Diceros bicornis minor: one gene and its partners. The protein of the gene in region 4 purifies or fractionates together with the protein of the main gene of each other region. This does not show direct contact. Links are inferred from orthologs where the notes say so. Each region holds a gene or a part of one and is shown on either strand. Other genes may lie near its edges. The genes, in order: AP1G2, AP1M1, AP1B1 and AP1S2.

Region 1 (7,247 bases), on a different chromosome or scaffold from region 4:
AGAGAAGATGCATCTACAGGGGGCTCTGTCCTCTCCTCAGGTCTTTGGAAGGTCTCCACCATGTCATCCCTCAACCATCTAACAAAGTTCCTGAGCCCCACTATGTGCAGGGGCTATTGCACTGAGAGAGACTGTGTCCCTGTCCTCACTGAGGTCACAGTCTAGAGGGAAATGGAGACGTGACTGTACTGCCACTCTGTGGTCGGTGGTCATGTGAGGGATGCCCAGGGCTGGTGGGATCATAGAGCAACACACCTAACCAGTGCCCGCTCCCCAGCCCCCAACCTGGGCTAGCAAGTCATTCATGGTCTCACTGCTCTCCTCGTGGTTCCGGCCCAGAATCCGAAGCAGACGAAGTATCCGGACCTAAAGTTGGGTTAAAGGTTGAAAAGTGGAGGGGTTCATAGGGTAAGGAGTCATGGGGCTGAGGAGAAAAATCCATTAAGGAGAGCATTGTGAGAGACCTGGCTGGTTCCCTAGAGGCTCCCTGCCCCTCCCTCCCCCCCAGGTCCCTTGGGCCCTGGGAGGGGATCAGAGGTGTGTGAGGCCAGGGGATTTGCGGACAAGCTTTTTTTTATTGTTACCAAACTGGATTTTCTAACTTTCAGGTGTCCCCCTCCCCGCAATGGTCCTGGGATGACCTGGGCAGACCTGTGCCTGCCACCCTTCTGCCTAAGGCACTGACTGAGCCAAAGTGTTCTCCGGGAGGTGACCACCGGCCATGGGTTTCCAGCTCAGCTCTCTGTTCCAGGGATACAGCAGGGAAGGGCCAGCCCACCTGCAGGAAGGGGTCGCTGACTCCAGATATGCTGTGTTCTGTGGAGTATCCCGTTGTCAGCAGAGTCCGGAGGATCTGCACCAGCTGGGGCACCACCTGGGGGGAGGGCACAGCCTCATCTGGGCATTCTTCCAAGTCCTCTCACCCTTCAGCCCCACTCCAACCCCACTGCTCCTCTCTTCCTGGCCCAGGGCCTGCCCCTTCTCCAGCCCACCTTTCGAAAGTGCTTGAGGGCTGCAGGGCTTCGTTCGCTGAGCTCCATGATCAGTGTGATGGTGCCCATTAGGATGCCTGGGTGAGGGTGGGGGAAGCGAATGGTGGGCCAGGGGAACAGGAGCGTCTACTGTGTGCGTGTGTGTGCACGTCCTAGCCTTCTCCTAGGAGCTGGTGTTCCCATCCCATTTTTCACTTCTGTCGGTAGCCAGAGCTGAGGCAGGGGATGGGGAGCCCGGTGGCCTTACCGTGGTGGCGTTCGCGAAGCAGTTGGGCACAGGGTGGGAGGAAGATGGTGGAGAGCTCAGGGACCTTCCGGATCATGTGCACTGCAGTCAGAACAGCCTGCAGAGGTCAGGGGGCTCAGAGAGGGTGGAGGTCTGCCAAGATGGACCCCCTACCTCTATCACATGGCAAACGGGACAGTTTCTGGAGGGGCAGGTGCCTAGAGTCCTGCCAGCTCACCTTCTTGCGCACATAGGGGCTGGGCTGCAGGAGCAGTTTCTCCACCTCAGTGGCCAGATCCCGGCACATCTCAGCAGAGCCCATGGTGCTCAGAGTGCACAGGGCCAGGCCTTGTACTGCCTGAGTCCCCTGGCTCAGGTCACTGCAGAGTTGGGAGGGCAGTCAGTCAAGGCTCTGGGAAATCCAGGCCTTCCCAGTACCTACAGCAGGCAGCCCCTTGGGATTTCCCAGTTCCCCCATCTCCCATCTCCCTGATTCCAAGTGCTTCCCAGAACCCTCTCACTTCTTGATGCTGTTGGTAATGAGCAGGTGGGCATCCTGCCTCTCATCCAGTAGAAGCATGGCCCCCAGGTAGCCCACCCTCTTGTCTGTGAATCTGGGAGAGGCGATCAGTTTCAGGCACTCCATCTATAGGGAAGGGGGCAGACCAGGAAGGGGCAGGACTGAAACCAGAGGCACTAACATCCCTTTCTATCCTCCTCCTTAATGCCAGATTAACTTGTGGGGGCACAATATCCCATCAACCTCCCTTCAACAGGAGGAGGGGCTTAGGAGATCGAGAGTCAGTGGGTAGTTTCCAGGCAATAGGAGTCGAGGATGATGGGAGAGGAGAGGAGGAGGTACCCTGAATGAGGCTGGCCAGAGAATGAAGGGTTCAGTCCAGCTGATGACCCACAGGGACTGTAATGGGGAAGGAGGTCTGCAGTGTATACTGTGAGGGTTCAGCAACTTTGTAAAATAAAAAAATCAGGGCACAGATACGTGAGGGGGTCTGAGACACTGCTCCACTAGCCTCCCTCATCAAACTCTGCCCAGTACCTGTCCAAAGTGGGCGGGGTAGCCCAACATGTGGACGTAGAGCAGTTTGGCCAGCTGGCGGTGCCTGTGCAGAGGGTCCCCATCGCGGAAGGAGGCCCGGATGTGGGCGCACTCCTTTTGGATCACCTCCCGCTCCTGGGCCTGGGTCTTGGCCCCACGAATCTCCTCGATTAGGTCTTGAAGCTTCAGCGAAGGCACCAACATCCTGGGGGTCAAAGCCCGGGAATGGAAAGGGCTTTAACCTTCTCTTGCTAGGGCTGCATGGCCTTTCTGCCCAGGGTCCCCTGGGCCAAGATCCTGAGGGCCCGGGTCCCACAGCTACCCTAAAACTGAGCCCACATTTACCTTTCTCCACGTGGGTGTCCGAACTCCACCCCCATCCCGAGGAGATCCCCATTACGCATGCGTGCCCCCCCCCAACCAGCCCGTCCCTACTGAGCACGCGCAGGAGCCCCGCCTATTTCCCACCCCCCTTCCGTCCTCCACCTGGTTTCCCATCCCTAGCTCAGCCATTTCTTTCCTTCCACGGCCCTGCGCGATTTCTCTTGCGGGACTCCTCCGCCGTTCACATCGCAGGCGGCCCCAGCTTCCCCACACCAGGATGCCATCCCTAACGCCAGCCTCACCTGGCTTCTGGCTCAACTCTGCTCCTCTGCCCCCAGCACTTCCTGGTACGGGGCCGGGCGGGGGTTGGTGCTTCGTCTGGTCCTTCCCTCTCCCCGCCCCCACCACGGGACCCCGCCCTTCCTGGGCCTCCCTGCTGAGACGTCTTGAATCCTCTGACCTCAGGCCTCTGGCTTTGGAGTTTAGGGGAAGCAGCTCTGATCCGCATAGGGGCGGCGAGACTGTCTATCAGGCCTGGGGTTTCCCCAAGAGGGCTCCTCGAACATTCTCAGCACCCGGAGAGCCTCAGAGAGCTTGGGTTTGAAGCCATCGCACCCCAAAGGAGATGACAATCCCCCCCTTTTTTGAAGTTTTTTATTAATATATTTTTTTTGTTAAATTTCTTTGTATTTTTTTTTCCTGCAAGACTTAGTGTTGGCGGCACTGTTGTAGTTTAACTTCAATCCCAAATTCCATGAAATAGAAATCAGAAGTAAAGGTTGAGAGGGGAGAAAGGAGAGATGCAGGCCAAGGAGTGAACAGAGTTTGACTAGAAAAAAAGAGGAGGATGTGTGTGGTGGGCATTCCCAGGCAAGGCCATTCCTTGAGGGAGGGGGTTGGCAGGCAGCTTGCCTCTGCCTCATGCAGGGGAGGGAGGAAAGATCCCCTGGGTACCCTACAGTCCCTCTTCCTTGGGCTTCCTGCCCCCAGGGGAAAAGCTAGTACCAGGGATCAGCCACAATCTCAAACAGGGCTCTCCACCCACCTCTCAACGGCTTTGAGGCCCACCTCTTCCCTGCCTAGAAAGTGTGTGAGATTGGTTTCCTTGATCCCCTCCTCCTGTTGTTTTCCCATTTCACAAGATTCTGATGGGGATGGGGGAAGGGACATAACCCACTTAGAGACTACTAAACTTGTCACAGCTTCTGCTGCCCTGTGAGTTCCTGTTATCTAGTCTGGTTCCGTTCCCCAGAACTGCCGCCCCCTCCACCACCGCCACGACTGCCAGAGTTGGGGAGTGGGGTCCTTGCTCAGGTGCCTCAAACCCTCTGCAGTAGAAATGTCTTCTTCAGGCCCCTTAGAAATTTAATCAAAGGCCACAAGTGAGTCCAGACCAAGCAAATAAACGTTTAGGGGGAGAGAGGAGGGTGCGAGAGGTCAATGGGTGGACTTGGCTGCACTGGACATTTGCTTTGCTTTACACATTGCTCTGGACATGGCATGCCACCCAAACCGGTTGGACGAGGGAGGGGCTGGCTGTTGAGGAGAGAAAGAGGGAGATGCTAGAGAGTCCTCCTACTTTTCATTTCCCTTATCTCCTTCAAGGAAGGATGAAGTTAGGCAAGAACCTAGCTCAACCCTTGGAGGTGAGACAGGATCCTCCCAGGTCAGAGATGGGGGCTGCACCTCCTCTGGCCTTTTCACTAGGCCTCAGAGGGACCTCAGGCCCCTTGGGTCCAGCTCCCACCACAGCTCGGCCAGTGCCTTGCCCAGTATACAGTACCCCCTTCTCCATTTTCTTCCTCCTTTCCACTTGGCTTCCAGGAGACTCCTCAGGACACCAAACCCCTACCCTCATCGAAGTTCAGGTCTAAAGAAAAGGCGGGGAGGTTGTGGGGCAATGGTCTGACTTAGATTTGTGTGTCTCAGAGAAGAGAGCAACTCTGAGGAGAAAAGCCCTTCATATGTAAACAATCTAGAGAGGGAGAAGGGGTGGGGTGGGGAAGGGAGTGAGGACGACAGACAGATCCACAGGAAATGAGAGAATCTGAAAGGAGAGAGGGGAAGAAAAAGCAAGAGATGAAAACAAAGGGGGACAGAAAAGAAAGGAAGGAAAGGGAGAAGAGAAAGAAAGATAGGAGAAGAAACAACCAGGAGGAGGAAGAGAGAAAAAGGCAGGTCCAAGGAGTGAAGAGGCAGCAACCAAAGCCAGGCTAGGCTGGGCAGGAGCCTCAGGTGAGGAGCTGGGAGAACAGGAACGCCAGGCTGAGGTCCAGGAGGGCCACGGCTCCCACCACCAGGGGGTTGGCAGCTCCCTAGAGAGAGGGGGAAATGCAGCCTCAGTCCCCGAGGACCAGGTCCAACGACAGGTCCCACCTTCCTGCCCTGGCTGAAGTGGCAAAGCTGAATGGTCACAGCCCCTCTCCTCAGTGCCAGGCGTGGGGGGATCTCCAACCTTTGTTTTGGATTGCAAAACACCCCTCTTCTCCCAGGCAGGGCCCCACCTTCCCTCTGGCTCCCTCAAGTCAGGAACAGCCCTTCCTCCCTCCACTCTCCACTCCTCTCCCACCAGCATGTCACGTGGCCCAGGCAGAAGGTGCCTGGCCTTAGTAGCAGACGTTGTTGGCAGCAGCAGCCGGTACTGCAGTAAAGCAGAGGGGGATGAGGGATGAGGATGTGGTTGCTAGGAAACAGGAGAAGACCTGAAGTCCAATCAGAGTAGAGGATTCTGGAGAATCTCCACCCCTCCTGGGTTTCTGCTGCCTTTCCTATTTCCCTTCTTCCCAGGAGAGGGAGGGAGAGTCAGGGTAGGGAGGGAACAAGCTTTTCCTTTTTTATTTCTGGGCACCAAAGAGAGAAAGTGTGGAGGTGGAGGTGGGGGTGGGGGTGGAGTAGGAAACTGGGAGTTGGAAATGATATGGAAGGAGAACAGGGAAAGATGTTCTGGCTCCACCGTTAATTATTAGTTTGTAGCTTTGGGCAAGTTACTTCAAATGCTCTGGGCCTCAGTTCCCCCATCTGTCAAATGAGGGCGTTGGACATGAAGGTCTCTTTTGAGGTGGGATATGGGCCAGGACTGGGCAGGCAGAGAGGAAGCTGAGCCCAGATCAAAGCCCCAGGGGATCAGACAGAGGCCTGGATGGAAGGAGAGGCAAGGCTTTGGGAAGAGGGGCCAGAAAGGAGCTGAGACTCTGAGGGCACAAAATGGGGATGGAGAGTGTCTCACCGGCTGGGCAGGCCTCTCGGTTGCGGCATGCTCCTCAAGCTCTTCCATCAGGCACCTGGCTTCAGGACCCCTTGAGGACGGGCCCCTCGGGACTGGTGTGGTCCCGGGCTCAGGCTCCAAGCCCCCTGGGGTCCTCAGCTGGGGCAAGGGCTCTTCATCTTCCCCCTCCTCCTCTCGAAGACTTCCAGAACTGTCGCTGCAGCCTCCGAGCAGTGGGGAACCGTCTCTGGGCCCTGGCCCCTGCATCCCAGCCTCATCCTCAGCCTCATAGCCAGCTAGTTCCTCTGCCTGCTCACCTGGGCCCCCCCACTCCTCAGGCCAAGCTTTGGGGCTGGAGAAGGGACCCTGGTCCCCCCCAGGAGGCAGTGGGCTCCGGCAGGCAGGGTGTCGCCAGGGTTGGCGGGAGGAGGCAGGACTGCTAGGCAGTTCAGGGGAGCCCTCTGAGGGGGTCAGTCCATTCTCGTACACCCCAGGGCTGTCCTCATCCAAGGGCTCTGTGTCGGAACCTTCTGAGTCCTGCCTGGGTCTGTGGCCTGGGGCAGGGATAGCTAAGAATCAGAGGGGCCTAACTGGCCTTGGGCTGCCAAAGCTACAGCTTTATCCCCTGTCTGGGCGCCTCCCAGGACTTCAGTGTCCCCAGGGTTACCGCCTCTCATTGCAAGACCGCAACCCCATAGTCGTTCTGGCCCTATTTCATAAATTCCCAGGTCCACTCTCCAAACAACCGGGCCTGGCCCCCACCCTCCGTCCCCTTGGACCCTCAATCCTTGGCTTTTCCATCCCAAGTGCCCTGCAGGGATTCCCTTCCCCTTTCCATGCCAGAGCCTCTCCAGCTCCCCAGGGGGCCCATCCCCCGCCCCAGGCTGCCCACGCCTCACCTGGGGCCTCTAACATGGGTTGCAGGTCCTGGGCTATCAGTTTGGCCATTCGAGCTGCCTCCACAGCCTTCTCGGCGACACTGCTGGCTGCCACTGCCTTTAGAAGGGCGTCTGCTGCCCTGTTGGGTTCCAGGGACAGGGACTTAGCAGACCAGCACCCCCTTCAGATTAGCCCTGCTCAGATGCTCCAGCCCCCTGGCCCAGGTCCCCACCACATCACATCCTCTGGATCTGAGCTCACCTCTGGAGTCCTCACCCTTGCTCACACTCTGCCAGCTGCTCTCCTTCCCGGCCGCCAGGGCAGCTGGCCTTTGGTTTCTTCTCCTAGAGCTGGGCTGGGCCTACTGTCATTACACCTCCCTGCTCCTCTCACACCCTTCCACCACTGCATCCTGTAGTAACACTTCCCTTCTTCCAGCTGCAGGGGCCAGGCCCTCCCCAGCTGCCCGCCACTGTCCTGTTCCTTTCCTGGTGACAAATGAGACCTCACTCTCTTAGCACATCCCTCTGCAGTCACACCTGCTTGGTGCTTACAAGCTATGCC
Region 2 (7,289 bases), on a different chromosome or scaffold from region 4:
CTGTTCCTGCCTCAGGGCCTTTGCACTTGCAGTTCCCTCTGCTCAGAATGCCCTGGGCTGGCTCTTCTCATTTCTCAAGCCTCAGCTCAGACAGCACCTCCTCCCTGCTTGCCCTGGCTGAGAGATCATATCCCATCCCTCTCGACCCCCAACTCCACTTTACCTTCACTGCCCACATCACCACTGCATCATATGTTTATCTGTGTCCTCATTTACTGTCTGTCACTTCTACCAGAGTCTACTACTCCCAGAGAACAGTGACCACTTCCGTCTGGTTCGCAGCTGTGTGCCAGCACTGACAACAGAGCCCAGCCCACAGCAGGTGCTCAGTCAACGTCTGGGGAGTGAGCATGCAGGTGAGGAGACAAAGGAGGCAGGAATAACGCCCAGGGCTCCAACGTGGGCAGCTGCATGGATGGCAGTGTCACTCGCCGAGATGGAGAGAGAGCAGATGGAGGGAGAGTCTGCAGTGGCTGTGGGACTTCCAAGGTGTCTCCGAGGCCAGCAGATCTCCAGATAAGTCCCCTGGACTGCGGTATAAATTTGAGAGTCACCGGCACACTGACGTGAATCAAAGCCTGCCCCGGGAGAGGGACAGTATGCCTGAGGGGCCAGCATCCAAAGGGAGGGCAGCAGCGGAGGGGCCAGCAGACAGTGAGGGAAACAGGGGGCCGAAGGAAGCCTGCTGAGAAGTGTGCTAGTGGCCTCAGCAGCTGCAGAGAAACAAGAAAGACAGGGCGGAGGAGTGTCCACGGAGGGCTTTCTGTCAGCTGAACGTGGCCACGCTGGTTTCCTTGGTAATCAGAGGCTCTGGCTGGCAGAGAGCTGTGTGGTAGTGAATTTCCTGATGTGCCATTACCTTACTTCTGATTAAACGCAGTCTGCGCATGAGGCAAACTTCCAAAACATGAGGTCCGTGGGGAGTGGAATAATAAATGGCATGACGGTTGCTGAGGCCGGGAAGGGAGCCCCCGGCTGCCTCGGGAGCCTCCCGAAAGGCAGGTTGATCCTGCTTCTCCCGGGCTACAATCCCCCTGCGGTGGCTCCTCCTTCCTGGGATCAAAGTGGTCCCCTCTGGCCCTTTCTCCTGTCCGGACACCTTTAACACCCATGGCCCTCCTGGTGCCATCCACCAGGCTCCAGCCTTACGTAGGACTTCCTGCTTGCCAGCCCCAGTGGGCTGCCCCTCACCCCTCGGGCCCACTGAGATGCTTCCTTGTCCACCTGTCTGCCACTTGGTCACCTTTCCAGCTCCCCCATCTCCCTCCTCCAGGAAGCCTTCCGTAACCACTTCTCCTTCTGCCAGCCAAAACTGAGGTTAGGCAACTGCATTCCCTGGGGCCTTGTCCATGCCCTGTGGCTAACCGGATCTGACCGTCTGGATCCATGCGGCTGCTTCCACACGTCTCCCCTGCCAGAACGTGAGGCCCACAGGGTCTAACGCGGACTGTGGGCCCTGGGTGCTGCTGAGCCTCTCTCATGCGCGGCTCAGCGAGTTCACACAATAATGCCACGGAAGCCTCCTCTGACTAATGAGGAAAGTGAGGCTCAGAGAGGAGCAGGCACTTGCCTGAGGTCACACAGCTGAGCAGCAAAGCTGGGTTTTGAGCTCAGCCCTGACTCCACAGTCACCGCGAGATGGTCAGCATGCGGCTCAGTGCACGTAGGAGCTCGTGAAATCTTTGCTGAAGGAACGAGTGATTGGAGACAGGCAGCCTTTGGGACCTCTAAGGACACGGTGGCTGGGGTGGAAGCAAGAACACGTGCTACAAGGACTCAGGGAACACTGCACCCACCCCGCCCCTGGCCTGCCCTGTGTCTTTCCTTGCCTCTAAGAAGGTGGGGGGAAGGAAGCCCAGCACTGGGCCTCACTGGATGTTGACTTTGGGTGCCATCCAAGGCAGGCAACCCACTCAGGGGACTCCAGGGAAGTGCTGGGGGTGGGGAGTGGGGCAGGAAGGGGCAGCCACTTCTCCTCACACCCCACTGCTTCTGAGCTAACTCCTCCCTGCCCCACCTGGGCCTGACACCCACGTCTCCTCCCAGATTGATGTGGGACGCGTTGAACATTGTTGAACCTGTACTTGTTGCTCCCAGGTGCAAGAGGCCAGATCCTCACTTGCTTCCAGCCAGGATGGACTTGGGGAAGGGCGGCAGCCCACTTCTGAGAGGCGTCAAGATCCCTCCTCTCAGACTTAGAGACCTGCCTGGCATTTAGTAGGTCCTCCTCAGACACCAGCTGAATGAACAAATGATTCTGGGTTCGACGCCTAGACCTGTCACTTCTCTGTGACCGGTGTGACCTTGGGCACGCTGCGTCACCTCTCTGTGCCTCACTTTCTCCCTCTGTAAAGTGTCGCTGCCACCACCTACCGCACCTAATCCTTGTCACTCAATGTCACAACGAAGGAACGCTAAGACATACCTACAGGGACCGGCACAGAGAACTCGCCAGAGAAGCAGAAGCTACGTCCCTGAGAGGGCGGGACTGGCCCGAGGGCACACTGTCCTCGTCACGCCTCGCGACGTCGGGCCAAGGGTCGCGCAGCTTCGACGCCGGCTGCAGCCCGCCCTCGCCGCGGCCTCGGTCTTCCGGGGGCCCCCACCGAGACTGGAGCCCCCAGCCCACGGGGGTCAGGGGTGTCGTGCAGCCGGTTACCTAGCAACAGCGGCAGCCCACCGCGTTACCCAGCAACAGGGTGCGGACAGACGACCCTGCCTGGTTACCTAGCAACAGGGTGCGGCCCTCAGGCGAGGCCGACTGGCTTCCTTGCCCAAGACCAGGCTGGGTCCCATTGGCCGTCCCTAAGCAACAGGGTGGGTCCCCACGGGGCGCGGCCCCCGCCGGTTGCCTGGCAACGGGGAGGGTGGGGAGCCCTCCGTACCTTGCCCTTCAGGTCCAGCACGTAAACGGCGCTGGCGGACATGGCGGTGCGGGAAGCCTCGGCAGCGGCCGAGGGCGGCGGCGACGGCGGCAACCGCCAGGCGTTGAGCAAGGCCGGGCGCGAGCCGCCACTGTTCGCCTCCACTTCCGGTCCGGGGAGCCGCGCGCGGACCGTTAGGTCCGGTCGGGGAGGAGGGGCCAGGAGTGCGCGGGCGCAGGGCGGAGTATGCGCAGGCGCAGTGCGCTCTACGTGCTCTTATTTCCCGCTTCCGCCTCAAGCATCCCGGAAGTAAGGTCCAGAGGGACGAGGTCGGGCGGGGCCGAGTGAAGCAGGGCATCCTCCAGCTTCCCGCCTGGGCCCCGAAGCCATGGCAGCTGGAAACCCCGCTGTGGGCCAAATTAGGTGAGAGATCCCGGTGGTGGAACCCACCTAGGGCCCAGCCCTATGGTACTCATAGTCTGGTGGGGGAGTCTAGGAAACAATCATATACAGTCGCCATTGCGAAATGCTGTATGGGGAGAAGTAAGGAGGTAGTTACTTGGAAAGAGGTCAGACTCTCTGAATGGCAGTCAAGGCTTATCAACAGTCACTATCTGTCACCTGTCAGTGTCAACATTCGTCAGTGAACAGGCGTGCCTGTTTATTGCTTGGAATGATCTCCTAAAAACCTCCCCCCACTGAACCTAGGCGAAAAGCACGTGTTTCATTTCTGTAGTTAGTGCCCACGGTGGGTAATGCAAATCGTGACCTCTCATTAATCAATTGAATATCTCATTTGGTTTTATGAACACTCAGGCTGTGGAGAAATGTCTGCATTCTGTCCCAATGAACCATCACACTGCTTTGGGGATCCCAACCGTGCAGTATCAGAACCATTTACTCAGGCTGCCTGCCTTTCACTCATCTCTGTTTGGGGGCTCTGAAAGATGGCATTTGCAATAGATCCTCCACTTAGGATAAATGTAAGTGCAGGAAAATCCAGAGAAGAAAACTAATATCTGAAGACTACCAAGTAAATCCTGGGCTGGAAGCATTCTTGCACAAAGCAGCCAATGGAGGCCTTTTGACAATTATTGGGTAAGAAACCCTATTGTACCTAGCCTCATACTTTGCCCAGTTTGTTGCAATGTTTTAGAAAAACATGTCTTTTTTAAATTACAAAACTGTACATCTCACTGAAGAAAAAGTGAGTAAATGCCAAAAATTATAAGGCAAAAAGAAAAGCCACCCAGGAAAGGTGACTCTTCTCATTACAGAGCATCTCCTTTCAGCCTTGCTCTGTGCCTCTGTCAAGGAGGCTGGGGGGAAGACATTGTACAAGTCTTTTGAGGAAACAAAGATTCCCAAGTGCCAAGAGTACCACCACGGTAAACACTCTTCACACTTAAATTACTTGTAACTTCCTTTTCTCCATAAGTGGGGGAATTCGAGTCACATCTGAATTTCATCCTTGGCATTTATGTGTAATGTATAAGCCAGATTTGACCTCTGCAACATCTCAGAAAAGACCATACCTGTTGTGGTAGACCAGGGTTTCTCAAACTTTGCTGCATATTAAGGTCACCTGGAGAGCTCTGAAAACTCGCAATGACCGAACCCCACCCCAGGCAGCATCAGTGGTTCCTAATGCTCTCAGGAGAGTCTAACATACAGCATAAATTGAGAACCACTGTGGTAGATTGTAACAGTGATGGCCCCCAATAAACCACACCTCCTGGTCTTCATGCCCTTGTGTAGTTCCGAGACTCTGGGTTTGACAACGTGACTTGTGTTGGCCAATGGAACAGGCTATGTGGAGAGCAGTCTTGGGGGATGAGATGCCATCTTGGACTTTCTGGCCCCAAGGAAGCCAATGCAGCTACACATGTGTACTAAGCTACACCTCAGGGAGCAGACCCACCCAGATGAGCACTGTCAACCCCCAGAATCGGGAGAGAGAACTCCTGTTGTAAGCCACTCTGTTCTGGAGTGGTGTGTTAGGCAGAATTAGGATGTCTATCTTCCACTGTACTGACACAGGCTTTTCCAGCACCACATCACGCTCACAGACCTGCACCGCTGGCTCAGGGATAGAAAAGCCCTGACCCCAATGCTGGGGCACGCTGGGGGAATCTGCCCAAAGGAGCCACTGCTAATGAGAGGATGTCACCTCTCTCAAGTGGGCCACGAACCACAAGTAGAAACACATCATCCAAATTTTTCCAAATTGAGGGTGAAGAGTCGTTTCGCAGTATGCACATTCTTCATATGGGATAAACCCTTAAAAGGCAGCGTGTCTAGTGATAATCTAACAGCCTATAAGTAAGACACTCAGACTTACATTTCATAACTGGTTTTTGCTTTATTCTGCAGTTCACTTGTGACAGCCCCAGACCCAACACCCGATGTTTCTATTCTGACTGGTCCTCTTGCACTGTGTGCGTCAGTTCTCACAGTAGCATAAGCAGTTCCATCCTCAGCCGGTGGGTGCACGCAGGCCCTCCAAGATCCTCGCTCTCCAGCACCAGAACCTGGGTCCTCCCGTTTGACTGCACCCCTACCCGTCTGTCTGTGCGGGGCTCTGCCCTGCTCCTGTCACCCCTGAGGTGTCCTTAGGCCAGGAATGCCCAATAGGTTCCATGTTATGTGCCAACTCTGAATAAATACGGGGGGTCAGCTTGGAGCCCAGGGTTGAGGGTAGTGAGGCAGGCTGTGTCTGGGTTCCAATACAAAGAATGCTGTGCTTGATTAGTAATATCCATGGCAACACTCACTAGACATGTCTGAAATAGGGTTACTGGGGAAGAGGAATGCTGGCCACCAGCTCAGCTCAGAAAGGGACGAGGCATGTGTTCTATCCTTAGACAGTTGTTCTGCTTCCCAGGCTGCATTGTCTCACTGGCCAGGTGGCTGAGGAGGCAGTCTGCAGGCCACGAAGCTGCCAGTGGCTTCCCCAGGCCCTGGATGGAACAGCATAAGCCCCAAGCTAGAGGGAGCTTGGAAGGGCAGGCAATGCAGGGCCCCACAAGGGGCTGCATTGCAGGCCTGCTGGCATTAACTCCTTATCCTATGGAGTCAGTTTCATCCAGGCAAAGAGAGCTGGCCAGCTGTCAGAGAGAGTGACATGCAACTCAGGGGCAAAAACGCTTTTCCACAGCACTTACATAGAAATAACCTTTATCTCTGGGTAAACTCTTAAAAATTTCCAGTCCAAACTGAAAACGTTTATCTTCTACTGAGAAACCAAAATAGGGTAAAAGGGCAATCTTACTTTCATTGAGGTCTAGAATGAGGGCACACTGCTTTGAAAAGCACTGTCTCAACAGAGGACGCAAAGTGTGTGTAAAAGAATGTTTCTAAAAAATACCAAAGGCACCAAACATAACCCCAACTTCGCCTTCTGCTTCCCCTTGATGCCACTCCACCTCCCGGGCCAGGAGGCTACTTGGTCCAGCTGACTTTGGGAATGTCATAGTGCTCCGTCAGCGTATCCAGGTGTCTGTTGAAGTCCTGGGAAAGCAAAGGAGAAAGCCCACGTCAGCACAGCCCCACGCAGGGCATCAGGGATGTGTGGTGCTGCCCACCGCACTTCTCCACGTCCTGTCTCTCCTCAGAGCACCCCTCCTCTCAAGGCCACTCTGCCAGGCCTTAGAAACTCCTGAACCCTGGGCTCTCCCTTCAGTGACCCCCGGGTAGCCGTCACTTCTGTTGGGTACACTCTCCTCCCCGCCAACACTCCAGTGGCTCTTCTGCCAGGCTCCTAGCCTCTGGGGCCCTAGATGGCTCCATCTCCCCACTGGGCACATGACTTACCTCCACTCTCTGCTTGTGGGTTTTGGATGCTTTCTTCAGGATCCTTTCCATTTGCTGGAGAGAAGAGAAACAGGTGAGTTCACATGCCTGACGCAGCCCAGGCCAACACGGGATGGAAGATGGGAGCCCCAGTCAGCCTGGCTCTCACACCTAGAAAGGCCAGAGGTCTCAGGGTGTGCACCTTGCCCTTGCCTCAGCTCCACTCAGACTGCTCTGACAGGGAGGCCTGGCCGCAACATATCCCACCAGGAGCCCGGGTCAGCTGCGCTCCGGTCTGAGGGGCAGGAAATGAACCAGCACCAACTGAGCACATACCCACAAGCAGACTGATGGGAGCTCTACATGTGCTTCCTGCTTCCTTGGGCAATTATACGCATTCCCAGTTTGCAGAAAAAGAAAGGCATGGGGGGTTTAAGAAAGGCTGAGGAAGGAGGAAGGTAAAGGGCCCGCTGCAGAGTAGGTGCTCAAGTGACAGGACACAGTGCCAGGAGGGCTACGAGGTCCTTGATGAGTGTGATTCTGGAATACGCCTCTTGCAGCACCAGGACCTGCTCCACTCCTCATTCCCAACACCCGATGGTCCCTGGTAAGAGGTAAGAGCGCAGGATGCAG
Region 3 (7,752 bases), on a different chromosome or scaffold from region 4:
TACACATGTTGAATTCACTCCCTTACCCAGAAGTTTCAGGAGTTAAATACCTAAAGTTAAACTGCTAACTAAATAGTTGAACTAAATATTTAGATAAACTAAAAAGGTAAACTAAATAACTAAAGTTAAACTATTTAACTAATAGTTAAATAACTAAAATAACTAAATTTAAAGAGTGTTTTATTTGCCAGGTGTAGGGTCCATTTTCTGATTTTATTATTGATTTCTAGCTTTTTAAGGTTTATTTATTTATTTTCCCCCCAAAGCCCCAGTAGATAGTTGTATGTCATAGTTGCACCGCCTTCTAGTTGCCGTATGTGGGACGCGGCCTCAGCGTGGCCAGAGAAGCGGTGTGTCGGTGTGCGCCCCGGATCCGAACCCGGGCCGCCAGCATCAGAGAGCACGCACTTAACCGCTAAGCCACAGGATCGGCCCCGATTTCTAGCTTTTTAGATTGTGATCAAAGACTGATGTATGAACTCCAATTCTACTCTATTGGAGTTTATTGACATTTTCTTTGTGCCTCAATTTATGCCTTTAAATAATTTTTAAAGCTCCCATTGAAGGAGGGTTTATAGGTTGCCAGGCACTGTACATAAATTCTACAATTTAATCTCTTTAGCAACTTTGCATGGAGGCCCAATCAGCTGGAAAGTGGGGTCCAGCTGAAGATTTGAACCCGGGTGTGGTTCAGAGCTTGGGCCTTTTTGATTGCACCAGTGGAGGGCGGTTCAGCCCTCTCAGGGGAACCTGAGAAGGGAGAGCAGAGCCCTTCAAGAGGCAGCCTATGGCAGCACTGGGGCCACAGGGGAGTGAGCAGAATTTTGCTCCTTGGAAGACCAGGGATGGTGTAATGAGAGCATTTGCAGCAGGAAAGAATGGAGGCAGAGGAGAGGTCCCTGGCAGCCTCTAGGCCCCTCTGCCCTGGAGTCTGTGCCAGGTTCCACCCGAACGGGAAGGATATGGAGCTGCCCACCCTCAGCAGGTGTGGGGCTGGTGGTGTCAGTGAGGCTACAGACAAAATCACTCCTGCCTCCTTCCGGAAAGGATCTGAGGCAACTTTTAGAAGTTTGTAAGGTAAAAACAACAAAAACAGCAAGCAAACATAAATTGAAGTAGAGTAATAGCGATAAGAAGAAGAATCTAGAAAGAAGGTTGGGACGGAGAAAGGCATGCTATCGGCTGCCTGTGCAACATTTACACCGAAAGGTCAGGGGCAGTTAATATCACCAGTGCGCCCTCTAGTGGGCATAGATGGAAAAAAAATACAATTTGTTCAACGTGTATTTATTAGGCACCCGTGTGGATGGAGGGTGGGAAAGACACGCTCTGAGATTCTGTGTGTCAGCAGGTCCCCGGTCATTTCTTGACACCACAAGAACTCCCAACCTCCCTCTGATTGTATTAAACGTCATGAGGCAGGTAAGGGTGGGATGAGGGGGAAAGCATGGGCCCTGCAGTCTTCAGCTCTGGCCTTGCCTCTCAGCTTGGTCCATTGTTGCCTCCTGAAGTTGGAAAAGTTCCTCAGCTTCTCAGGGCCTCAGTGTGCTCATCTGTAAAGTGGGAGTTCCATAGTGCCCACCTCTTGGGAATAGTGAGGGTTAAATGAAGTGATGGGTGTCAAGGGCATACAATGGTGCTTGGCACATGTTGGGTGCAGAGTTCTCAGGAAGGAGAAACTGAGGCCCAAAGAGGTGGACAGGCCTGTCCATCATCAGCCAGCTCAATAGGGCAGGGTAGAAAATGAATAGGACTTGGAGAAGAGTTTAAAAACTTCCTCCTCCAATCAGGAGGTGACGTTACTGTTAGTAATGGTATATCTGTTGGGACAAGTCTGTTCTCTCTCCAAGTGGGCTTGGCCATCACTGGCTCTGCTCCATCCTGGAGCAAAGAGCTCCTCCTGGGCCAGGGGCTCAGAGGTCTGAGGCAGGCCACACATGCCCCAGGTGGGACTTTTCTAGACAGTGTTGGACAGTGAGTGTGACTCAGGCAGTGTGGCCAGCTGGGTTGGAGATGGGGTTAGAGAGGGAAGCCCCCTGAAAGCCCCGCTTCCCTGCTTCCATCTCCCACCTCTGCAAGCTGTAATTATTCAGCCTTTGGCATTGAGTTGTGCCTCTTCTTATTAGTATTATATTTTTAGCTCTTCTGCCAGGCTGAGCTGTGAGAGAGGAGGCCAAGGCCTACAGGGAAGTGAGGAAAATCAGCTCTGCCCACTGGCCTAAGTTTTCTTATCTTTACTTGGGGACAGTCATGGAACCCCAAATTGTTGAGAGAGTTCAGTGAGTTAATATGGGGAAGAGCCTAGCACAGTGACTCTTCATGGTAACTATTAGTAGTAGTAATATCATCCTTCACAGTTCCTGCTGGATGTCACCTCCTCCAGGAAGCCATCCCTGACTTTCCCAGGATGAGTTTGGTGCCCAAGTCTCCTGCACACCCCTGGTCCTTCTGGGCTGTGTTATAATTGCCCCTTTAATTGTTCCTCTCCCAAGGAGAGGTTGTGCCACATCTTGTTCACTGTTGTATCTCCAATATGGCTGGCTCAGGTAAGAGGGACAGACATATTTTAGGTGAATGAGTGGGACTTATGAGAGCACGTATGCTGTGGCTCTGGGACCAGACCATCAGCTTTGCCACTCGGACATTGTTTGACTTCAGCTCTTGGAGTTGCAGCTCCCCTCCACTCCCCAAATAAAATGGGGCTGATGTGAGGAGCAAATGAGACCCCCTGTGCACCACCTAGCACACTACAGGTGCTCCATAAACATCCATTGCTGTTCTGCAATTTCATATTAAATGCCCCCTACTTGTCCACACCTCCCCTTCTCCCTCCAACCCCAGGGGGAGCTTCAGTGCCTCCTCTGGACTCCCATAGTCCCCAATACCTCCCCTATCACAGCACCAACCACATTTGTGCCTGCTGCTCTGTCACCCTCCCCGGACAAACTGATGGTTCAGCAAGGACAGGGCCTTTGCCTCACCTGTGTGACTATCCAACACCCAGCCCAGGGTCTGGTTCAGAGCAGGGGCTTGGGAAATGCTTTCTGAAGGACCCAGACGTCTGGCTCCCTTGCCTTCCTGTCTCTGCACTGATCTCTCTGGTTTGCCCTTTCTTTCCATCTCAGCCTCTGCAACTCTGTCCTCACTGGGCAAGGCCTAGCATAAATGCCACCTTCCCCAGAACATCCTTCTTGAGCAAATTGACGCTGTGACTTCTGTCTCCTTGGAACTCTTAAAGCTCTGACTGCTTTTACCACCAACTTGCCACTTTCACATAAGCTCTCCAGCTTGGTACCTTTAGGTTTGCTGGTTTGTTTTGTTAGATAATCCTTCTCTTTCCATGTTACATTCCTAGTGAAATCTTGTTTTTCACTGAGGCTGATGGCATTTGCCAACATTGATCATTAGGGAAAGGTGGTTTCTCCAGACAGCTGTGCATAGCATGTGGAACATGACACATGCATACAAAATCATTCTATTTGTTTCCTGCCTACTTCAGAAAAGGATTTAAAAATGGAATAAGGTCTGTAAATTTAGTTAATGGTATTATACCAATGCCGATTTCCTGGTTTTGATGTTATACTACTAATATATAAAATGTCACTACTGAAGGAAACTGGGTGAAGGCACCCTATGTACTATTTTTGCAATTTCCTGTAAGTCTATAATGATTTAAAAATAAAACCTTTTATAAAAAGGATTTGAGTCTGGTTAAACATATAAAAACTACATTGAATATTAAAACAATAATATCTAGATTAGACAGGACATACAGACTTGGCTTTGCAAGCTTATTTATTAATAAGTTTTATAATATTATAAGATTGGTAGCAACTTAAGTGTACAACTGTAGGGATTGTTTTTGAGAACAGTGATACCATCCATACAGTGGAATACCATGCAGGTATTGGAAAGCACCAAACAGAAATGTATTTATTGTTTTGGGAAAGTTTTACCAACATCTTGGTGAGTTAAAAATACTGAATGATATGTCAAGTCCTGAAGGATATTCACCAAAATATTAAAAATGATTGTCTCGGGGCGGTGGGATTGCAGATGATTTTTTATCTTCTTTTTGCTTGCTAGTATATTGCCATTCCTCTACAATGCAAATATTATTTTCCTAGTAAAACATTTTTAAAGAGTAGCAATGAAATAATGTTTTACAGGGGATGATCAAAAATTATCTAGAAGGAGAAGAAAGTTAATAGTACCAGAGCCGGGAGTGAGATGGCTATTGCACTTGAAGTCGTGGCAGACCCAGCAAAAGGAGAAATGGGATATTGTGAAGTTCTTGGAGAGTGCGATGTTTTCCCCTCTAACGTGGAATACCCAAAGGGCTGCACTGAAGGGCAGGGAGCGCTAGACTAGATTTACACCTCGAGTTTTGACTCTTCCATTCATACGGTAAGTGATCTTGAGCAAAATCCTGCCCCTCTCAGAGCCTCAGTTTTCCCGTCTATAACAGAAGGGAGATGGACCTCAGAGTCTCCACGACCTTTTCCATCTCCATCACGCGAAATTACTTAGCGGTGAGCAGGCTAATTTTCCTAACCACGCTGCGGGAGACAGCGGCGGAGCAGCGCCGCGGCCGGGGAGGGGTTAATCCGGTCGGCCCCGCCCCGCGGGCACCACCACCCCCGCCCGGGTCGCACCCTTGACCCCGCCCCCAGGCCGTGCGTCCACCGGAAGTGCCCGCGCGCGGGCAGCTCACTTCCGCCCGGCAGGTGACAGCCGCGGGGCTGGAGCGGCCGGCGGCACGGGCGCACCGGGAGAGCAGGGGGAGGAGGCCGCGGACATTTTCCTGCCGAGCCGCGCCGCGCCGCGCCGTGGCGCCGGGAGCCGTGCGGACCTGCGGGTGAGGAGGCGGGGAGTTCGACGAGGCTGGAGGAGAAGTGGGGCGGGGAGGCGGGGGTCTGAGGTGAGGGCGTTGCGGGGTCAGAGGTCACGGAGAGGACGTGGGGCTGGAGGGGCCAGAGAGGCTTCCCGGGCCCCGACGAAGCTGAAGGACTGCGGGTTCATTCATTCGCACCCGCTTGGCCGCTGCCCGCAGCCCAGCTGCCCCAGGTCCGCAGCCCCACCTGGGCGCCCTCCCGGAGAGACGGCTAGACTTAGGCCCCGCGGAGCCCGCCCCTGGCCGCAGGGGAAGCTCCTCTTCGGTCCCGGTTTTCCCCTTCACACTTATCCCCTGGGGCCTCTTCGTTCCGGCCTTATCTCTCTGCCACGGTTCGAAAAGGAAAAAAAACTGCAAGAAACAGCCCTGCGCCGCCTGCTCCGCGGCACGCTGGGGCTTGGTCTGTCCGTTGGCGCCCCACGGACGAGTTAGCTGGGGACACCTGTAATAATGCTAAAAACACCGACGAAAATGCCAGCTGCTGCGTGTTGAGCTCCTACTGTGTACCAGGCGCTGTGCTAAGCGCTTTAGTACAGTGCCACGTTTAAACTTCACAGCAGCCCTTGTGAGGTAGCTACGGTTGTTATCCCCATTTTATCCACGGGGAAACTGAGGCACAGGGAGGTTAAATCACACGTATAAGGTCAATCAGGTAGTATAGACAAGAACCAGGGTTTCTACCCTTGCTTGCAGAGACCAGCAAAGTGCAGAGACAGCAGAGAGGCTGGAGCAAGGTTGGGATGAAGGGGCTATTTAATATCTTTAGCCATTATGTGTATTTGCATCTGTGTAAAGATGTAGGCTTATTGCTTCTCGTCTAGTCTTCATAAGGGGCATTTGACTCACTTTCTTTAGGATGAAACAATCCTGCAGGCTGTTGGTGTAAGTGATTACATTTCAGGGCAAGCGTGGAAGTTTTTCCTGACTATTGGGAACTGTGAGACACAAAGCAGGCTATCCATGAAGCTAATTTGAGAGTATCTAGAACCTCTCTTGAGAGTAGTTGAGCTGCATTCCTTTTGGATTGAAGAGAAGAACCACATGACCTCTAGGGGCTCTTGTAGCCCTAGGTTCTTGAAGGACGTTCTCAAGGGAAGGGTCTGTGTCTCTCTGAGAAAAGTGCAGGCCCCATGGCTTCTTGGCTAGGGAAAGCACATCTTGCCTGGGAGGTGGTGAGGTGGTTTGATGGCCGGAGGGCTAGGTTCTGTGAGTCTGAGCCTTATTCCTTTGCAGACATTCACTAGCTCCAGTTCTGCCTCAGTTTCCCTGAGAGCAGCACAAGGGAGACCTGCTGCCTTCCTACCCACTCTTGGGTGTTGTAAGCCTTAATGAACTCGCGAAGGTTTCCACGTGCTTCTGAAGAAAGCTGTGATGTAAATATTACTGTAGTGCCTTTTTTTTTTTTAACTCTATGATCTGTTCTCCTAGTTCCATTGAATTCACAGAACCTTAATATTGTCACCTTATCCCCATCCTTCCAAGGGAGGATTTGAGATGAAGCGACTTGTCACAAATGGTAGGAACGTGAGCAGAGCTCAGAGCATCTGGCTCCCTGTCCTGAGTTGAGCCCACCAGGCTCCTCGACCTCTTAAAAACTGACGTGAAGAGCAGCTTCACTAGTTTCAAAGAATCAGATCCCTCAGAAGTTGTGTAGAGATTATCTGTTGAGTGTGGGTTGAGCAGAGGCTTCTCCCTGAGCAACCTGAAGAGCTCAGAGGTACACGGAAAAGATTCCCTTTCTCCCCCTCGCTCAGCCCTGGGTTCTGATCCCAGCTCAGCAGCTTCGTGATAGTGGGACCCGGACAACTTGCTTAGACTGGGCCTCTACTTCAGCTCTAAAATAATGATCACCACCTTCCCCCTCTCCTCCCAACACTGGTGCGTGTGGGGGTTAGATGAGGAAGTTTGTGCAGAGCCTGTTAATGTTGCGGTGGGAGCCTTGATCGTAGGCAGTTGATGCCTGCTGAGGGTCTATGTCTGAGGAAGGCTGTCTACCCTGGTTTGTGGGGTGTTACTTCCTTCCGCAGACAGAGACCTTTGTGTACACAGGACTTCTCCCACCCTTCTCGTTTCACTTCCTAAAAGTTTGTCAGAACAAGTTCAGTCCATTGGTCCTGCTGGCTTTCGGCTTGGACTTTCATCTTTTTCTAGTCGTCCTCTGAAACTGTTGCGTATCTTGACTGCTCACTTCCCAGAAAACCCGCATGCCTGGCACCAAAGCCTGATGTGCTGACACTGAGCAAACATGGCTTGGGTATGGGTTTTGCACTTTGGTGTATTCCTGAAAGCTGAGGGAACATCTATAACTTGAAGATGTTTCTTTTTCTGCACAAGTCTTTTTGTCTAAGATAGGTTACTTATAAATTATTACAGCCCAGAAATGGTTTTTGTGTTCTTTTTCTCTTCACACGGAGAGAAACAGATAACTCCAGAGAGAAAATACCACTTGAGCAGTTGGAGAATCCTTAAAAAAAAACTTCTGCTTGAATATCCATCAGTGGCTCCTCGTTGCCCTCAAGCTAAAACTCACATTCCTTAGCATGGCATTCAAGGCCTTTTGGGCTCTGACCCCTGCCTGGCTCTTCTGCCTTATCTCTCCTGCTCCACACTTCTACCTCCTCCCAAGCTCCAAGCAAACTCAGCTGCTTTTCTACAAAGTGCTAACTCGTTATGCCTCTGTGTCTTTGCTTTGTGCTGTTCTCACTGCCTGAACACCATTTCATGTCACATACACACCCCACCCCACACTTCTTTGCTGGACCACTACTTGGTGCCTCCCATCCGATCATCCCCTCCACCTTGCAGGCCTGAGCTAGATGCCCCTCCTTGATGTCCTGTGGCACTGATCATAATGGGTT
Region 4 (7,788 bases):
TGTATAAACACAAAGTTTTTAAACATCTATATGACTGAAACGGTCTATGTATCCAAGGTGTTTATAAGTGAGTAAGATTCTAAGTCAGATAAAAGGCATGTCAATTATCAGTCATTACAGATTTTCGGGGAGAATGGAAAGGGGTGAAAACGCTTGTCTAAATTCAGCGAGTTACTCACACAATTTAAAATACTGATCCTATTTTTCCCTGCAAAGAAATGAATTCATTGAATTTTTCTAAAAAGATGATTAAGCATGAATAATCATTTACGCCTACAATTATATAATTAGATTTAAAACGACTTCCCTATTATCATTTTAGCCTGGGTAATCAATCAGAACAGCAGTTATTTTAAAAATACAAAGCTTTAATTTAAATCTTTTTCATCTAAATCTTTATTAATCATTATTTATAAATGTAATCTCTCGAAAGTCTGCAATTTCCACATTATAGATGACTGAACATTTCATTCTGCTATTTCACCTTTCTGATAAATAAAAATTATACCTTTTGTAAACAATCTTCAGATCTCGCCACTCAAGAAAGCTGCACATTTTAGGTTTCCGTGCTAAGACGGTTTGAACAAGTTCTCTTGTGATCTTTTTCTTCTCTTTGTCTGATAGTGGGACATACCATTTCTGCAGTCGAAGCTTTCCCTGACGACTAAAAAGCAACATAAACTGCATCTGTTAAGATAAATAGAACCAAGATCATATGCAGTACTTTGATTCAATAAAAGTTAAGATTAAGATGACATAGCTCCAGGGGACAGGGTGTCAACTGACAAATGATTAGTAGCCATCAATATTTCTATGCCAGTTAAAATAGCAGGAAATTCTTGTAGAAACATCTTCCCACCAGATGCAATCTCTCCATTCCACCCTGTTCCACGTAAGTTTGGAAAGCAGTGTGTGGGGGGAAGAAAGAAAAACAGGTAATAAGCTGGAATGGAAATTTTGAGGAAAAAGAAAGATAACTCTTGCAATTTAAGAAACTGTCTGCCTGTGCTATACATTCCACACTCTCTATATGCATCAAAAGAGAATTGTTGACAAGAACTGGTTTAGGTACATTTAAAAGAAACAGGAGACCTACTATTTTCCACACTCTCTATATGCATCAAAAGAGAATTGTTGACAAGAACTGGTTTAGGTACATTTAAAAGAAACAGGAGACCTACTATTTTTCACCCTGAGGCTGTTCTAGTTCCAGGCTGAATTACTGTAGACAGACTGCTATCACTTAGAATGCTTTCTTCAGTTTATGCTTACATATTTTAAGCAAAACAAAAGATCTAAGAGATTACCCAAAAAAAAAATCCTATAAAAGCACATTTTTCTTAATAAAAGCATGACTTTTAAGTATCTCTTCTCATCTCACTTTTTAAAAATACCAACATAAATATGCACACAATAAACGAGTTAATGTAATATTATGAAAGAGAACATAAACCTCTAAAAAGCCAAAACAAGAGTTAAACATATTCAGAGACATTACACGACATACTTCACTTAAAACAACAAAAAAATAGCATTGACAGATGGGAGTGGATGTTGAATTCTAGTGTACTTTACACAAACTATTTTGTATATATTTATCTGGAATCTGCAAATCTGTTATTTAGTCTACACATTTAATTTTTAAGGCAAGTTCTTGTAAATTCAACTGGTCTTCTCAACTGCAAACAGATAAGCACTGTTTCTACAAAGGTAATTTAAAGGTAGAATTCAGACGAGTATTTTTTTCTTTTAACTCTCCTAAGTTCCTTTAACAGCGTTACTGCAAGGAAGATCCCAGCCTGATTCTTAACATTCACCACACCATCTTGAATTTAAACATGGGGTGGGGGAATTTACACAACCCATTTAGAATACAACGGGCCCTGCCTTTCGGTAAGAAATTATTGTCGCTCTTTGTACTAGTCCAGACAGGCATCAACAAAATACTTAGAAATTTATGATGCGGCAATTTAACTTTATTAAAGTTAAAATTGGCTTATTACAACTCACTTAAAACGCTTCACTGGTACAAAATAAACGAACAATATTCGTGATATCAAAGTCCCTCCCATACGAGTCCTGTTAAGATAGCCGCATTCGAAGGGGACCGCAAGTAAAGCATCTACCGGACAACGTTTAATGCAAACCCGTTACCAGAACTTGGAAAATAACAGACCCGTATTCCAGGATCTCGGTGACCAGGAGGGGTGGGGGTTTGCTTTCGAAAGGAGTATAGGCTCAACGCTGTCGGTAGCAGGGTCCTGTATTTCCCCTCTACCACTTTATAGGACAAATAAATAATTTACTCTCTTTAAAATAAATTATGCGCTAACATGGGACGATACCCGGTTGCAAGACACAAGTATTCCCTCTTATTAACAACCAATGCTTCGATTGTGCCGCAAATCGCAGGGCACCTCAATTCCTCGAGATTGCTATTAAAAACAATGGGCTCGGCCGCGGGGCGGGCTCGGGGCCAGCGTTCCTCGGTCCGGCCGTCTCCGCCGCCTCCCCGCCGCCCCACGGGGCCGCACTCCATCACTGACCAAGCCCGGGCGAGGTGACAGGCAAGGTGCGGGGCAGACAATGGCATCCGCCGCCGCGCAGGGGGCGCCAAGGGTCCTCGGCCGCCGCCGCCCCCGCCCGCGGGCCCCTCCCGAAAATGCCCCGCAAAACTTGAGATGATTCCCGAACCACAGGTGCCGCGGGGCCGCCGCGGCGGCCGGCACTGGCCCCCGCATCCCAGGGCGCGGCGCGGTGTGGAAAGAGGGGAGCGGACGCAGAGAGAAGTGAGTTGCGGGGCGCGGCGCCCAGCGGCGGGGCGGGCACGGGGTGGGGTCGTCGGGGCGCGCGGGGCGGCGGGGGGCGCGCCTCACCCTCCCGCCCCCATCCCCGTCCTCGGCGCCCCGGCTCGCCCCTCTCGGGACTTACGGCGGCCGCGGGCCGCGGGCGCGGCGGGGCTCGGCCGGCGGCGGCGGCTGAGGGGAAACCCCTGTCGCTGAGCTGAGGAAGGGAAGCCGTGTTGCTGTGGGGAGGGGACTCGGTCGGCGGAGGGAAGGCTTAGGCGCCGAGGGGAGGGCGAGCCGACAGACCCCGCCCTGGGGGCCGGACGAGGGAGGAGCCGGGGCTGCGGCGAGCGGAGGGGCGGGCTGGGCGGGAAGCAGCTGCGCCGTCGCCAACGGCACCGGAGGCAGCGCAGGTGACCGCGCAGTCCAAGGAAGCCGATTGGCCGCCTCTCTAGCCAGAGGGGGTGGTGCGAACCGGAAGCCAGGCCACGTGACCCGGAAGCGGCTTCGGCCGGGGCCGCCTGCGCATTCCTGGGTGTGCCCCCGAGACTCGCACGGGCGGTTGTCCCCGCTATTCAGTGCGGAAGAACAGGGTTCCGCGGTGGCCTCTGGTGACCCTGCTGTGCAGGGCAGGGAAGGTCTGGACCACAAAGAGCCAAGTCGGAGCTCTGCTAACTCTCCGTGCCCTTAGAGGGTGGGACGGGGAGGTGTGACAGCCGGTGATGATGGTGAGGGTAGAGAGGGAGTGCTGCCGCTCTGGGGAGAACAAGTCGGCTCTTTCGTGGAGCTCGTGCACGCATTCAGCGAGCCGTTTGCAATTATTCTACTTCAAAACTGTTCGGAATCCGGCCCCTCCTTCGCATTGCACTGCTACAGCCCTGGACACCGTTCACCCCAGGCTGTGCAGGTGTCTCTTCCTTGGGCTTGCCTCTCCCATCCTCAGTGCTGCGGACCTGATGAGTTAGTGTCTGTTCTCTGCTGAAAAGCCCAGACAGCACCTCGTCCACGTTATCTCGCTCCCTTCACGGCGAGTCGTCCCCCCGCCCCCCCCCCCCCCCAGCCGCCTGGGTTCCAGTTTAGCCTTGCCGACGACTTGCTTTGCCTGGCATGCGCTTCTTCTCAAATGTCACATCTCCTGTGAAACCTCACCCTCAAACCTTGTAAAAACGAATCCCTTTCACCCACATGCCCATTAGCCTGTTTATAGCACATCTTGAGTTTTATTTCATTTTGTATCCCCACTTGCCCGTTAGCCTCTATTTAGCACATCTTGAATTTTATTCCTTTTGCATCCCATCCTAGTTCACTGCCTGGTATATAACACAACTAATAAATGTGAGTGGACTGATAAGGACTATAAAATGATAGATTTGTTAAGAGCCATAGTGCTGAGCATTGTGCTTGATACATAATGGATACCCATATTTTTTTGAATGAAAGAATGGATGAATCATCTAGTACAACTCATCTTTTACAGATAAGGAAAGGGGAGCCCCACGGGATTAAGTGACCTTGCTTGAACAGCCACGGGTTTCTCGTGTCGAATGCTATTCATTACCCCAGTCGCCTAGGTTCTTACAAAGGAAGCTGGAAAATTGTTCTTGTGGAGCTATGCCCTTTTTGCAGAGGTTCCCAAATATAGTCGCCAGAATTTTTTAATGGCCCAAAATGAAAAAGAAATGCTAAATTTTTCATGAAGCTAAATTTATTCATTTTAAAGGAATTCTTTATTAGAAATTGTGTTCTTTTTTTTGTGTTAAAATACCTATAAAACTAAGATAGTATATAATAAGGATTTGGGGGCATTTTTTAATGCCCTTATTTGGCAAAATAAAATTGTATAATACCTCTCTTTTAAGCACTACTATGCTGCTTGAAAAATTTCCTACTAACATGTATGATTAATGTATACTGGAATATTAAAGAAGTGGTTGGCACAAAGCACAGAGCTGGCTTTCTGTAGGTCTTTGGGTCCCCTGCTCAAATGTCTCTGCTCCCTGACCAATCATGCCCCAAGGCCCATGTTAATGTCCCTTTTCTCCTTTAGTACACAAAACAGATGCCTTTAGCCAGTTGAAAGATCTAATACTATGCAATGAAAACTAGCCCTCTGAATCCATATGCTGCTTTTCTCTTTTTCTGTACAAAACACATATATCCTCAAGCTTCCTGAGATAACTACCTTCAAGTTTCAACTCATTGGTTACGCTCCTAATGTTGGTCTGTGGTTCTGAATATGAGGATGGGAGACTTGCTGATGACATATTGGCAGTCTCTGGTGTTCTTAGCCAAGAAAAGGTGGGGGGGGGGGGTTGGGGGTAGAGAGGGAAAGGAATTATGGGAGAAATAATTAGCAGCTGAAAGCAGCTATTACATAATCTTGGCTGCTTATTAATTTAGCAGAAGGAATGGCTTATTAAATTCTAATAGCAACAGCACAACTGCAAACAACCTAGCAATTAACAGTGCAGGGCCCATTATTTTGTTAATATGCTCTCTTCTTTTGGCAAGTGTATAAGAACAAAATTTATAGTAGCAGATGGTCTTTTTCAGTAGATTATAGATGGTTTATTCCCCAGTCTTAGTAGTAACTGCTAATTGTGCATTCACCATGAAAGACAAAAGAGGCACTTTTACTGTCTTTGTTGGTAATTAACTGCTTGACTTTGATTCCCACAATTTCCAAATTGTGGGCTTTGTTATATACATATTTCTTCTCACCTAGTATCTTCTTCATCTGTAATGTTAATAGGGTACCTTTTTTAATCCTCTGCTTTTGTCATCTGGACGGTCCTGATTTCTTGGTTATTAATGATGGTACAAAAATTATTTTTTCTGAAAAATTAAAAATCAGATTTTATCCTTTTTTTTTTTTTGGTACAGGAGACATTTAATACAAAACCATTTCTCATGGAACAAGAACATGTAGTGTCATGGTGCAAGGCTGCCTGATGTTTCCCAGGTTTCAATGGCTCAGATAGATAAAGGAAAATTCGGCAAGGTCAAAAGAGAGAAGAACAGATTTATCCTTAAGTAGGAAAGATAACCGTGTCCCAAGTGTACAGAAGGGGAAGAACTGAAGTATTTCTGGTAATCTGCCTTTTATTTATTTATTTTATTGAGATATAATTGACATATAACATTACATTAGTTTTAGGTGTACTTCTTAATGATCGGATATTTGTATATTTTGCAAAGTGATCACCACAATAAGTCTAATTAACATCACTTGTTTAAAAAAAAAAAAGTGCCTAGCTTTCATTTATGCTAAATGCAAGAGGTGAGGGTGAAATAGGGATTCTGCCTTTTAACAATAAAATTTTGAGACTTTTTATGTAATCTTTTAAAAGTTTTCAAAAATAGTTTTAGTTTTCTGTTAAATGTGTGATGGCTGTATGCTTTTATCTCCTTTCCTTCTCAAAATGACATTAAATGAAAAAAAAAAGGGATGTTTAAAGTATATATCCACATGGGCAGTAAGAGAGGGGACACTAGTGTGAGGACGCCAACAAGGATGTCAGGCTACACTGCCGGCTCATCAGTAAACACTGATGAGTTAAGTAAAAATTGTAATCTGTTTACATTGAGAATATGGAGGAGCAGAAGTGAGGGAATGTTGAAATAATGCTAAATCCTCACACACTAACGGTAAAAAAAATAGATAACATTGAGCATAAATGAAGAAATACAATTGTTAGCATATTCTTTAGATACCAGGAAGTAAATTCCAGAAGTAATGATGACTTTCTTTCTAGGGACAGAATCTTGAGGTAAGATGTGATAAAGGTTATTATTACATTTTATTTTAGTGCAGGTTTTACTTAGATAATTTTTTAAAATATTGTAATGAAGTAGATAAAAACTCTTCTGTTAGTGCTAACACTATATTATGGACTTGCACAGTGTTCCTTTAGCCAGTCTATGTATTATTTAGAAATTATTAAATGAAAATGCCTTGTAATGGAATTCCGTGCTGAATCAGTATAGAAGATCACAATTAGTGTAAAAAAAGATGCTTAGAGTTTGTGAGTTTGCATCTCCAAAGATAAGGTTGTTCCAGGGAGAAAACTGGCCTAAAATAATGAGGATTTGTGAACCAAATCATTTCAAATAGATAGAGCTGTTACTGCCAAAGTCTTCAACAATGAGCTAAAGAGAAATGTGGAACATATGCTCTTTCTTGAAGCCTATTTCCATAGCTTTGAATAAAATGCAGGAAAATGACTCTTCTCCTTTTAATATTAGGTTAGAGCAGTGTTTCTCAACGTTTTTATCCCTCCCCCAGGGGACACTTGGCAGTGTCTGGAGACATTTGCGGGGGGTGGGGGGGTAGGGGGAGGGTGGTGATGCCACTGCAATGTATAGGACAGCTCCCATCACAAAGAATTATCCAGCCCAAAATGTCAGTAGTACCGAGGTTGAGAAACCCTGAGTTAGTCATTGGAAAGGTTAACAGGCAGTAACTGAGATCTTGTATAGACATTTCAAGAAATGGAATATGTACTATCTTCATATAAGTTTTTTTCTCTCTCTCTTAAAGGAGGTGGAGGCATTCTTTTTTTTTTTTTTTTTTTTGTGAGGGAGATCAGCCCTGAGCTAACATCCATGCTAATCCTCCTCCTTTTGCTGAGGAAGACTGGCTCTGAGCTAACATCTATTGCCAATCCTCCTCCTTTTTTTTTCCCAAAGCCCCAGTAGATAGTTGTATGTCATAGTTGCACATCCTTCTAGTTGCTGTATGTGGGACTCGGCCTCGGCATGGCCGGAGAAGCGGTGCGTCAGTGCACCCTCAGGATCCGAACCTGGGCCGCCAGTAGCGGAGCGGACGCACTTAACCACTAAGCCACAGGGCCGGCCCGGCATTCTTAATATTAGATAAAATCCTTAACTGCTGAAAAGACTCACCGCTACATAAGGTAGTCAGTATTCTTTAATAGTACCTAGAATAAACTATCTAAATGGGATTTTTTTTTTCAGAGTGACCCCAGAATATTAGTGGAAG

Evidence for each region.
Region 1: the proteins of AP1S2 (region 4) and AP1G2 purify together in Homo sapiens (affinity purification with mass spectrometry; 3 studies listed by BioGRID and IntAct, counting the BioPlex papers as one, with this or other methods). This does not show direct contact. The link is inferred for Diceros bicornis minor from reciprocal best matches to the Homo sapiens genes AP1S2 and AP1G2.
Region 2: the proteins of AP1S2 (region 4) and AP1M1 fractionate together in Homo sapiens (co-fractionation; 6 studies listed by BioGRID and IntAct, counting the BioPlex papers as one, with this or other methods). This does not show direct contact. The link is inferred for Diceros bicornis minor from reciprocal best matches to the Homo sapiens genes AP1S2 and AP1M1.
Region 3: the proteins of AP1S2 (region 4) and AP1B1 purify together in Homo sapiens (affinity purification with mass spectrometry; 5 studies listed by BioGRID and IntAct, counting the BioPlex papers as one, with this or other methods). This does not show direct contact. The link is inferred for Diceros bicornis minor from reciprocal best matches to the Homo sapiens genes AP1S2 and AP1B1.

What each region holds. Positions count from the first base shown.
Region 1 is NC_080744.1:24,298,069-24,305,315, reverse strand, and holds the start of AP1G2 (AP-1 complex subunit gamma-like 2), read right to left. Parts: upstream 3,007-7,247; 5' UTR 2,902-3,006; intron 2,643-2,901; exon of another isoform or gene 2,621-2,642; intron 2,481-2,620; 5' UTR 2,480-2,480; coding exon 2,276-2,479; intron 1,865-2,275; coding exon 1,740-1,864; intron 1,599-1,739; coding exon 1,457-1,598; intron 1,337-1,456; coding exon 1,240-1,336; intron 1,070-1,239; coding exon 993-1,069; intron 875-992; coding exon 779-874; intron 367-778; coding exon 286-366; intron 1-285. Other genes in the region: JPH4 (junctophilin-4), read right to left, coding at 4,831-4,914, 5,826-6,358, 6,704-6,822.
Region 2 is NC_080759.1:4,410,512-4,417,800, reverse strand, and holds the start of AP1M1 (AP-1 complex subunit mu-1), read right to left. Parts: upstream 3,005-7,289; 5' UTR 2,928-3,004; coding exon 2,886-2,927; intron 1-2,885. Other genes in the region: protein FAM32A, read right to left, coding at 6,306-6,374, 6,678-6,731. UniProt on the Homo sapiens protein: Subunit of clathrin-associated adaptor protein complex 1 that plays a role in protein sorting in the trans-Golgi network (TGN) and endosomes.
Region 3 is NC_080774.1:23,055,637-23,063,388, reverse strand, and holds the start of AP1B1 (AP-1 complex subunit beta-1), read left to right. Parts: upstream 1-4,745; 5' UTR 4,746-4,858; intron 4,859-7,752. UniProt on the Homo sapiens protein: Subunit of clathrin-associated adaptor protein complex 1 that plays a role in protein sorting in the late-Golgi/trans-Golgi network (TGN) and/or endosomes.
Region 4 is NC_080781.1:13,028,578-13,036,365, forward strand, and holds the start of AP1S2 (AP-1 complex subunit sigma-2), read right to left. Parts: upstream 3,015-7,788; 5' UTR 2,932-3,014; intron 688-2,931; coding exon 509-687; intron 1-508. UniProt on the Homo sapiens protein: Subunit of clathrin-associated adaptor protein complex 1 that plays a role in protein sorting in the late-Golgi/trans-Golgi network (TGN) and/or endosomes.